2 linked regions of the Xenopus tropicalis genome follow. The protein of the gene in region 2 purifies or fractionates together with the protein of the main gene of each other region. This does not show direct contact. Links are inferred from orthologs where the notes say so. Each region holds a gene or a part of one and is shown on either strand. Other genes may lie near its edges. The genes, in order: rbm42 and serbp1.

What was found.
Region 1: the proteins of serbp1 (region 2) and rbm42 purify together in Homo sapiens (affinity purification with mass spectrometry; 3 studies listed by BioGRID and IntAct, with this or other methods). This does not show direct contact. The link is inferred for Xenopus tropicalis from reciprocal best matches to the Homo sapiens genes SERBP1 and RBM42.

Annotation. Positions count from the first base shown.
Region 1 is NC_030683.2:128,985,438-128,989,254, reverse strand, and holds part of rbm42 (RNA-binding protein 42), read right to left. Parts: coding exon 3,778-3,817; intron 3,695-3,777; coding exon 3,587-3,694; intron 3,503-3,586; coding exon 3,382-3,502; intron 1-3,381. UniProt on the Homo sapiens protein: Binds (via the RRM domain) to the 3'-untranslated region (UTR) of CDKN1A mRNA.
Region 2 is NC_030680.2:83,574,593-83,578,409, reverse strand, and holds part of serbp1 (plasminogen activator inhibitor 1 RNA-binding protein), read right to left. Parts: intron 2,695-3,817; coding exon 2,457-2,694; intron 730-2,456; coding exon 583-729; intron 481-582; coding exon 394-480; intron 1-393. UniProt on the Homo sapiens protein: Ribosome-binding protein that promotes ribosome hibernation, a process during which ribosomes are stabilized in an inactive state and preserved from proteasomal degradation.

The sequences.
Region 1 (3,817 bases), on a different chromosome or scaffold from region 2:
TGCCATTGAGCCCTATGGGAGACTTTCCTTGGGCCGGGTTGGAGCTGCAGAGTGCCATTGAGCCCTATGGGAGGCTTTCCTTGGCCGGGTTGGAGCTGCAGAGTGCCATTGAGCCCTATGGGAGACTTTCCTTGGGCCGGGTTGGAGCTGCAGAGTGCCATTGAGCCCTATGGGAGACTTTCCTTGGGCCGGGTTGGAGCTGCAGAGTGCCATTGAGCCCTATGGGAGACTTCCCTTGGGCCGGGTTGGAGCTGCAGAGTGCCATTGAGCCCTATGGGAGACTTTCCTTGGGCCGGGTTGGAGCTGCAGAGTGCCATTGAGCCCTATGGGAAGCTTTCCTTGGGCCGGGTTGGAGCGGCAGAGTGCCATTGAGCCCTATGGGAGACTTTCCTTGGGCCGGGTTGGAGCTGCAGAGTGCCATTGAGCCCTATGGGAAGCTTTCCTTGGGCCGGGTTGGAGCGGCAGAGTGCCATTGAGCCCTATGGGAGACTTTCCTTGGGCCGGGTTGGAGCTGCAGAGTGCCATTGAGCCCTATGGGAGACTTTCCTTGGGCCGGGTTGGAGCTGCAGAGTGCCATTGAGCCCTATGGGAGACTTTCCTTGGGCCGGGTTGGAGCTGCAGAGTGCCATTGAGCCCTATGGGAGACTTTCCTTGGGCCGGGTGTGAGCTGCAGAGTGCCATTGAGCCCTATGGGAGGCTTCCCTTGGGCCGGGTGTGAGCTGCAGAGTGCCATTGAGCCCTATGGGAGACTTTCCTTGGGCCGGGTTGGAGCTGCAGAGTGCCATTGAGCCCTATGGGAGACTTCCCTTGGGCCGGGTGTGAGCTGCAGAGTGCCATTGAGCCCTATGGGAGACTTTCCTTGGGCCGGGTTGGAGCTGCAGAGTGCCATTGAGCCCTATGGGAGACTTTCCTTGGGCCGGGTTGGAGCTGCAGAGTGCCATTGAGCCCTATGGGAGACTTCCCTTGGGCCGGGTTGGAGCTGCAGAGTGCCATTGAGCCCTATGGGAGACTTCCCTTGGGCCGGGTGTGAGCTGCAGAGTGCCATTGAGCCCTATGGGAGACTTTCCTTGGGCCGGGTTGGAGCTGCAGAGTGCCATTGAGCCCTATGGGAGACTTTCCTTGGGCCGGGTTGGAGCTGCAGAGTGCCATTGAGCCCTATGGGAGACTTTCCTTGGGCCGGGTTGGAGCTGCAGAGTGCCATTGAGCCCTATGGGAGGCTTTCCTTGGGCCGGGTTGGAGCTGCAGAGTGCCATTGAGCCCTATGGGAGACTTTCCTTGGGCCAGGTTGGAGCTGCAGAGTGCCATTGAGCCCTATGGGAGGCTTTCCTTGGGCCGGGTTGGAGCTGCAGAGTGCCATTGAGCCCTATGGGAGGCTTCCCTTGGGCCGGGTTGGAGCTGCAGAGTGCCATTGAGCCCTATGGGAGACTTTCCTTGGGCCAGGTTGGAGCTGCAGAGTGCCATTGAGCCCTATGGGAGACTTCCCTTGGGCCGGGTTGGAGCTGCAGAGTGCCATTGAGCCCTATGGGAGACTTCCCTTGGGCCGGGTTGGAGCTGCAGAGTGCCATTGAGCCCTATGGGAGACTTTCCTTGGGCCGGGTTGGAGCTGCAGAGTGCCATTGAGCCCTATGGGAGACTTCCCTTGGGCCGGGTTGGAGCTGCAGAGTGCCATTGAGCCCTATGGGAGACTTTCCTTGGGCCGGGTTGGAGCTGCAGAGTGCCATTGAGCCCTATGGGAAGCTTTCCTTGGGCCGGGTTGGAGCGGCAGAGTGCCATTGAGCCCTATGGGAGACTTTCCTTGGGCCGGGTTGGAGCTGCAGAGTGCCATTGAGCCCTATGGGAGACTTTCCTTGGGCCGGGTTGGAGCTGCAGAGTGCCATTGAGCCCTATGGGAGGCTTTCCTTGGGCCGGGTTGGAGCTGCAGAGTGCCATTGAGCCCTATGGGAGACTTTCCTTGGGCCAGGTTGGAGATGCAGAGTGCCATTGAGCCCTATGGGAAGCTTTCCTTGGGCCGGGTTGGAGCGGCAGAGTGCCATTGAGCCCTATGGGAGACTTCCCTTGGGCCGGGTGTGAGCTGCAGAGTGCCATTGAGCCCTATGGGAGACTTTCCTTGGGCCGGGTTGGAGCTGCAGAGTGCCATTGAGCCCTATGGGAGACTTCCCTTGGGCCGGGTGTGAGCTGCAGAGTGCCATTGAGCCCTATGGGAGACTTTCCTTGGGCCGGGTTGGAGCTGCAGAGTGCCATTGAACCCTATGGGAGACTTTCCTTGGGCCGGGTTGGAGCTGCAGAGTGCCATTGAGCCCTATGGGAGACTTTCCTTGGGCCGGGTTGGAGCTGCAGAGTGCCATTGAGCCCTATGGGAGACTTTCCTTGGGCCGGGTTGGAGCTGCAGAGTGCCATTGAGCCCTATGGGAGACTTTCCTTGGGCCGGGTTGGAGCTGCAGAGTGCCATTGAGCCCTATGGGAGACTTTCCTTGGGCCGGGTTGGAGCGGCAGAGTGCCATTGAGCCCTATGGGAGACTTCCCTTAGGCCGGGTTGGAGCTGCAGAGTGCCATTGAGCCCTATGGGAGACTTCCCTTGGGCCGGGTTGGAGCTGCAGAGCTGGCACTCTGCATACAATATGTTTGGCTGCGGGGCAAGGTAGGGTGGGTGCCAAGGATGCCGGATGTGATGCGGAGGTGGGCGTGGCCTGCGCTCGGCAGATAGAAGATGCGTTTTAAGGCTTAGAACACGTGTTCTATCCGCTGGGCGCAGGGGCAAGGTAGGATGCCGGATGCGGAGAAGGGCGTAGCCTGCGCTCAGCGGATAGAAGACGTGTTCTAAGGCATAGAACACGTCATCTATCCGCCAAGCGCAGGCCACGCCCCCCATTATTTTTTTTTATTAAAGATTTGGCAGAGAGCCAGATGCAGCCATCAAAAGAGCCACATCTGGCTCCCGAGCCATAGGTTCCCTACCCCTGCTTTAGAATAATCCGGCTCCTTATCTGCCCGTGTATGGGCACGACTCACAAACCTCACCATGAAATCGGGCAGATCTCAATCGGGCAGGTTTAATTTTCCCTTGGAGCAGGGGCTGCATTATACCCCCTATACCCGCTGTTTTCAATCGATCATTTTGCCCTAGGGCCAAACGACCGAATTAGCCCAATATCGCCCACCCGTAGGTTGGCAAATCGGGAGAAGATCCGCTCGCTTGGCAACCTTGCCTTACCTTAAGGCAGCCCTATTTTGATTGGATTCCATATGCCCCCGGGATGATCCCATTAGTGGCCTGGGAGCCAAATGATTGGAGCAGCCAGATTTGGGCCGGCACACAGATGACCAAGTCGGGCACAGAGCTGCTAATATGGCAACTGAAGGGACCATGAAAATGAGCCTCACCTGACTCCCATTCCAATAAGCTCTGATCTTCCCAGGATGTTCCGGCCGCAGTGCGAATGCACCGTTTTAATTTCTCCGGCTTTGTTTTCTTTTTATCCTCCTGTACCGGTTCCAGTACCACCTACAGAACAGAACCAGTAAGGGTTTTAGACACCAGAACACAATACAGCGCTCCCTGCTCCCAATCCCAGCGCCAGGGTCCCACCTCGGGCTGCACCGGTTCCATTTCCGGCATACTGGGGCCAATAACGGCTTCTTCAAAGCTGAGAGTTTCCTTCTCATCCGGTAATATTGGCGGCTCCACAATTTCCTCCTGAAAGACAGAAATATCTTATAATCGCAGACCGGGCAGCATCGTCCTTGTATCGCTATTATGGGATGTAACTGGTCTCTTACCTCTGGCTTCCTTACTGGGGGTGCAGTATAGACAGTGGGG
Region 2 (3,817 bases):
CAGATTTTGAAATGCTGCAAAGCTTGCCTTAATAGCAAGTTCTTGATGATATAGATATATAGATAGGATATATATATATATATATATATATATATATATATATATATATATATATATATATATATATATATATATATATATATATATAGTAACTTAAGTTTATTTTGATTGACTAACCTGATACAAAAGTATTTAAAGTTACTTTAGTGTGACAAGTCCCCTTTAAGAAAGAAACCAGATTGTTTAAAAATACCTCCAAGTTTATGCCGACATGACCAGTTTACTAAAATGGTTTAGAGAGGCTTTGTTAACGTTTTATTTTAATCAACATCAGGAAACCCACTTTTAATCCACAATCTTATTTTACTCAATCACAACATTTTAGCACCCTACCTTAATTCATCCTTAACAGTGCCCCAGTTGTGTGATCCACTTCCTCCCCGTTTATCCTCATGCTTTGGGCCACTGAAATGTGAAGAACTAGCCAAAATGAGTTATATTGTCAGTGTTTGAGCATGGAGATTAGGGAAGCACAAAGAAATACAAGAAAGTCAACAACAAAAGCACTAGGCCAAGACTTACGCTCTGTCACTGCCACTATGCCTGTCAAATTCACGTTTTCCACGAGAGTCAAAGCCATCGCCCCTGCCCAAACCACGTCCACGACCGCCACGGCCACCCCTTCCACCAGGGCCACCGCGACCACGGATGGGCCTATCCACGATGGGTCTAAAAAATGAATAGATTCATTGCTATGTTTTTATTGTTAAACAATTAGAGATGCTGTTTGCGTTATAAAACTGAAGTGTTACATTTTTAGGTGAATTGCAACTTTAGTACACATTTAGTATAGTCAAGTTGTGGTGGTGTAAGAATCTGCAATTGATTTTTATTTATTTTTTTAATTGTGGAAGGAAGGAACCCCTTCACACAATTACAATAAAGATAAGGTGGTTTGAGGTGGTTACTATTCCCTTTAATGTAATCATTAGTATGCACAAACAGCTCAGCACTCTGTAAAGTTCAAAGAGTAACTGGGTCCTGCTGTTTCCAGCTAAATAAAAAACAGATACAGCATATAATTTCTATAGAAAATTAAAACAGCCAGATAGTGCTTTTAAAAGCACTTAAATTTACAAATCAAAACTGAAAATTTGTAATTGATGTATTTTGGAAAGTTGCTTACAAATTACATTTTATTTCACTATTCAAAAAAAAAAAAAGGGAAAACCCATGCCTCCTTAAACCATTAGGGGTGGTTCACCTTTACGTTAACTTTAAGTATGTTATAGAATGTCCTATTCCTAGCGACTTTGCAATTGATCTTCAGTATCTTTTTTTTTTTATAGTTTAATTATTTGCCTTCTGCCTCTACATCTTTTAAATGGGGGTCACTGACTCCAGCATCCAAAAATAATTGCTGTGCGATCTTGCAATATTATTATTTCTACCTTTAATTACTTATATTTCTATTCAGTCCCGCTCCATATTCCAGTCTCTCAGCAACCATGCAGTGGTTTAAATAAGGTAAACAAAACCCTAGCAACCAGATAACTGCTGAAATTCCAAAATGGAGTGCTGCTGAAAAAAAAAAAAAAATTGCAAACTCACAGAATCTCACTCTCTACATCATATATGCATACATAATATGCATACATAATGTTAATTTAAAAGTGGACAACCTCTTTAACAAAGTTCTAGTCTATCGTGTCCCAAAACATAGTATTAAGATACAGACTCAATAACACCAACAAGAGGTTTCTTCAGCTGACTTGTTCATGGGCAGGTAAAAAATCTGAAACTTGACACATCTGTCACTGTCCCTTAGAAGTGCTCTGCATTCACTGTTGCCCTGTCTTCTGTATCAACACATTGAACAGATTTTTCTCCCACCCAATAATAGATGCACAGCACAAGATTACTGGGTAAATTTCAGCAGTGGGTTTTAGGGGAACCTTTATTACTGTGGGTCAGTAACAGGAAGTAGCTTTTCTTTGGTGCTGGCTAGGGCAGCATTAAGGTGGCCATACACTAAGATCTGCTCGTTTAGCGAGGTCACCAAGCAAGCAGATCTTCTCATGATATGCCCACCACCTACACCATCGGTTTGGGGACCGCATTCCCTACCCAAATGAAAAATCAAATCTGCCCAATTTCAGGCCAGGCGTCAGTTGGGAAGGCCCACTGGTGGTGCCTATACACGGGTAGATAAGCTGCAAATTGATCTAAAGGACCAATATCAGCAACTGAAATCGCCCCATGTATGGCCGCTTTTACTCGTGTATCTAGGGCAGCAAAAGCTTTAAATATAGCCCTTGATATGATAACAGAGACCCAATTCTTCCTCAGGTGTGTTCAGTGTAAACAGTTCCCTTCAATAAATGGTCTATACATTTTACAATCTAAAAGCAACCTAAAATAAACATGTACATTAGCCAATTTAACATGAAACTTACCGGTCAACAGAAAATTCCCCTGCTTCTCCCTTTTCTTCAGTTGGTTTTTCAAAACGGCGTTCACGGGGTGGCCGCCTATCGGACTGCCTCCTGTCAACTGGCTTTCCTTCACCCTGTGATGACTGAGGTGGTTGCTGCTGCTGCTGTTGTTGTTGTTGTTGTTGCTGCTGCTGTTGTGTTGGTGGCTGCTGCGGCGGCTGCTGCTGCTGATCAGGTCTCCGACCAACCCGCCTGATAGCTGCAACACAGATATTAATGCACAAAGATTTGTAAAGATGTATAATCTTCTGAATTATACAGTAGTGAAATTATGAAGAGTAAATGCCCCATTTGACAGACATGGATACATTTGGTAAAAATTGGGTAGTGGGGCACTGCCTTAGATGTTTAAGATACACAGGTGAATGTATTTCATACAATTAAAAGGATTTTTTAAGTCTTGACCAGAAAGATGCGTGTTCATACACAGTTCCTTTATGGCTACAGGCTAATTAGTGTTAACCAATACATTTTCTGAGGAACACTAAGCAGCATGCCTAAAATTAAAGGTCACTAAGGGTATGCCCAGCTAATAATGTACACTGCTGGCCTATGACCAACTCTGTCAAAACCGCTTCAGTGAGTTAAGACACTTGCTAATGCAGTTAACAACAGATTTCCTATACCATCAGTAGTAAAGTGTTGTGCTCTCAACTCCCAGCAGAGGTCACTGTTTCTATGCAGGTTACTGATATTTAACTGGTTACTCTGAAAATGAACAGTAAGGCTGCCACAAATTAACAGCACAAAAATTTACAGAAATACCATAAGTCTTATGAAAGATAAATGTGCACAAAAAATCCCACACACCTTTTTATTATGCAAAACCATGTTTAAAAGGATTGTCAGGATTTCAGGATTCGTTGAGGTCTGGCATGGTGGCGAGAGACTGGCGAATTGCTAATGTGGTACCGTTATTTAAAAAGGGATCCCGTTCTCAGACTGAAAACTATAGGTCTGTTAGTCTGACATCAGTAGTAGGAAAACTTTTGGAAGGGGTAATATGGGATAGGGTACTTGAATACATTGCAGTTCACAATACTATTAGTTTGTGCCAGCATGGTTTTATGCGTAACAGATCTTGCCAGACTAATTTAGTCGCCTTTTATGAGGAGGTGAGCAGGAACCTCAATGATGGAATGGCAGTTGATGTCATCTACTTGGACTTTGCTAAAGCGTTTGATACAGTACCTCACAGAAGGTTAATGATCAAATTGAGGAATATTGGCCTAGAACATAATATCTGTAATTGGATAGAGAACTGGCTGAAGGTTAGATTACAAAGAGTGGTGGTAAATGGAACATTTTCTAATTGGACCAGT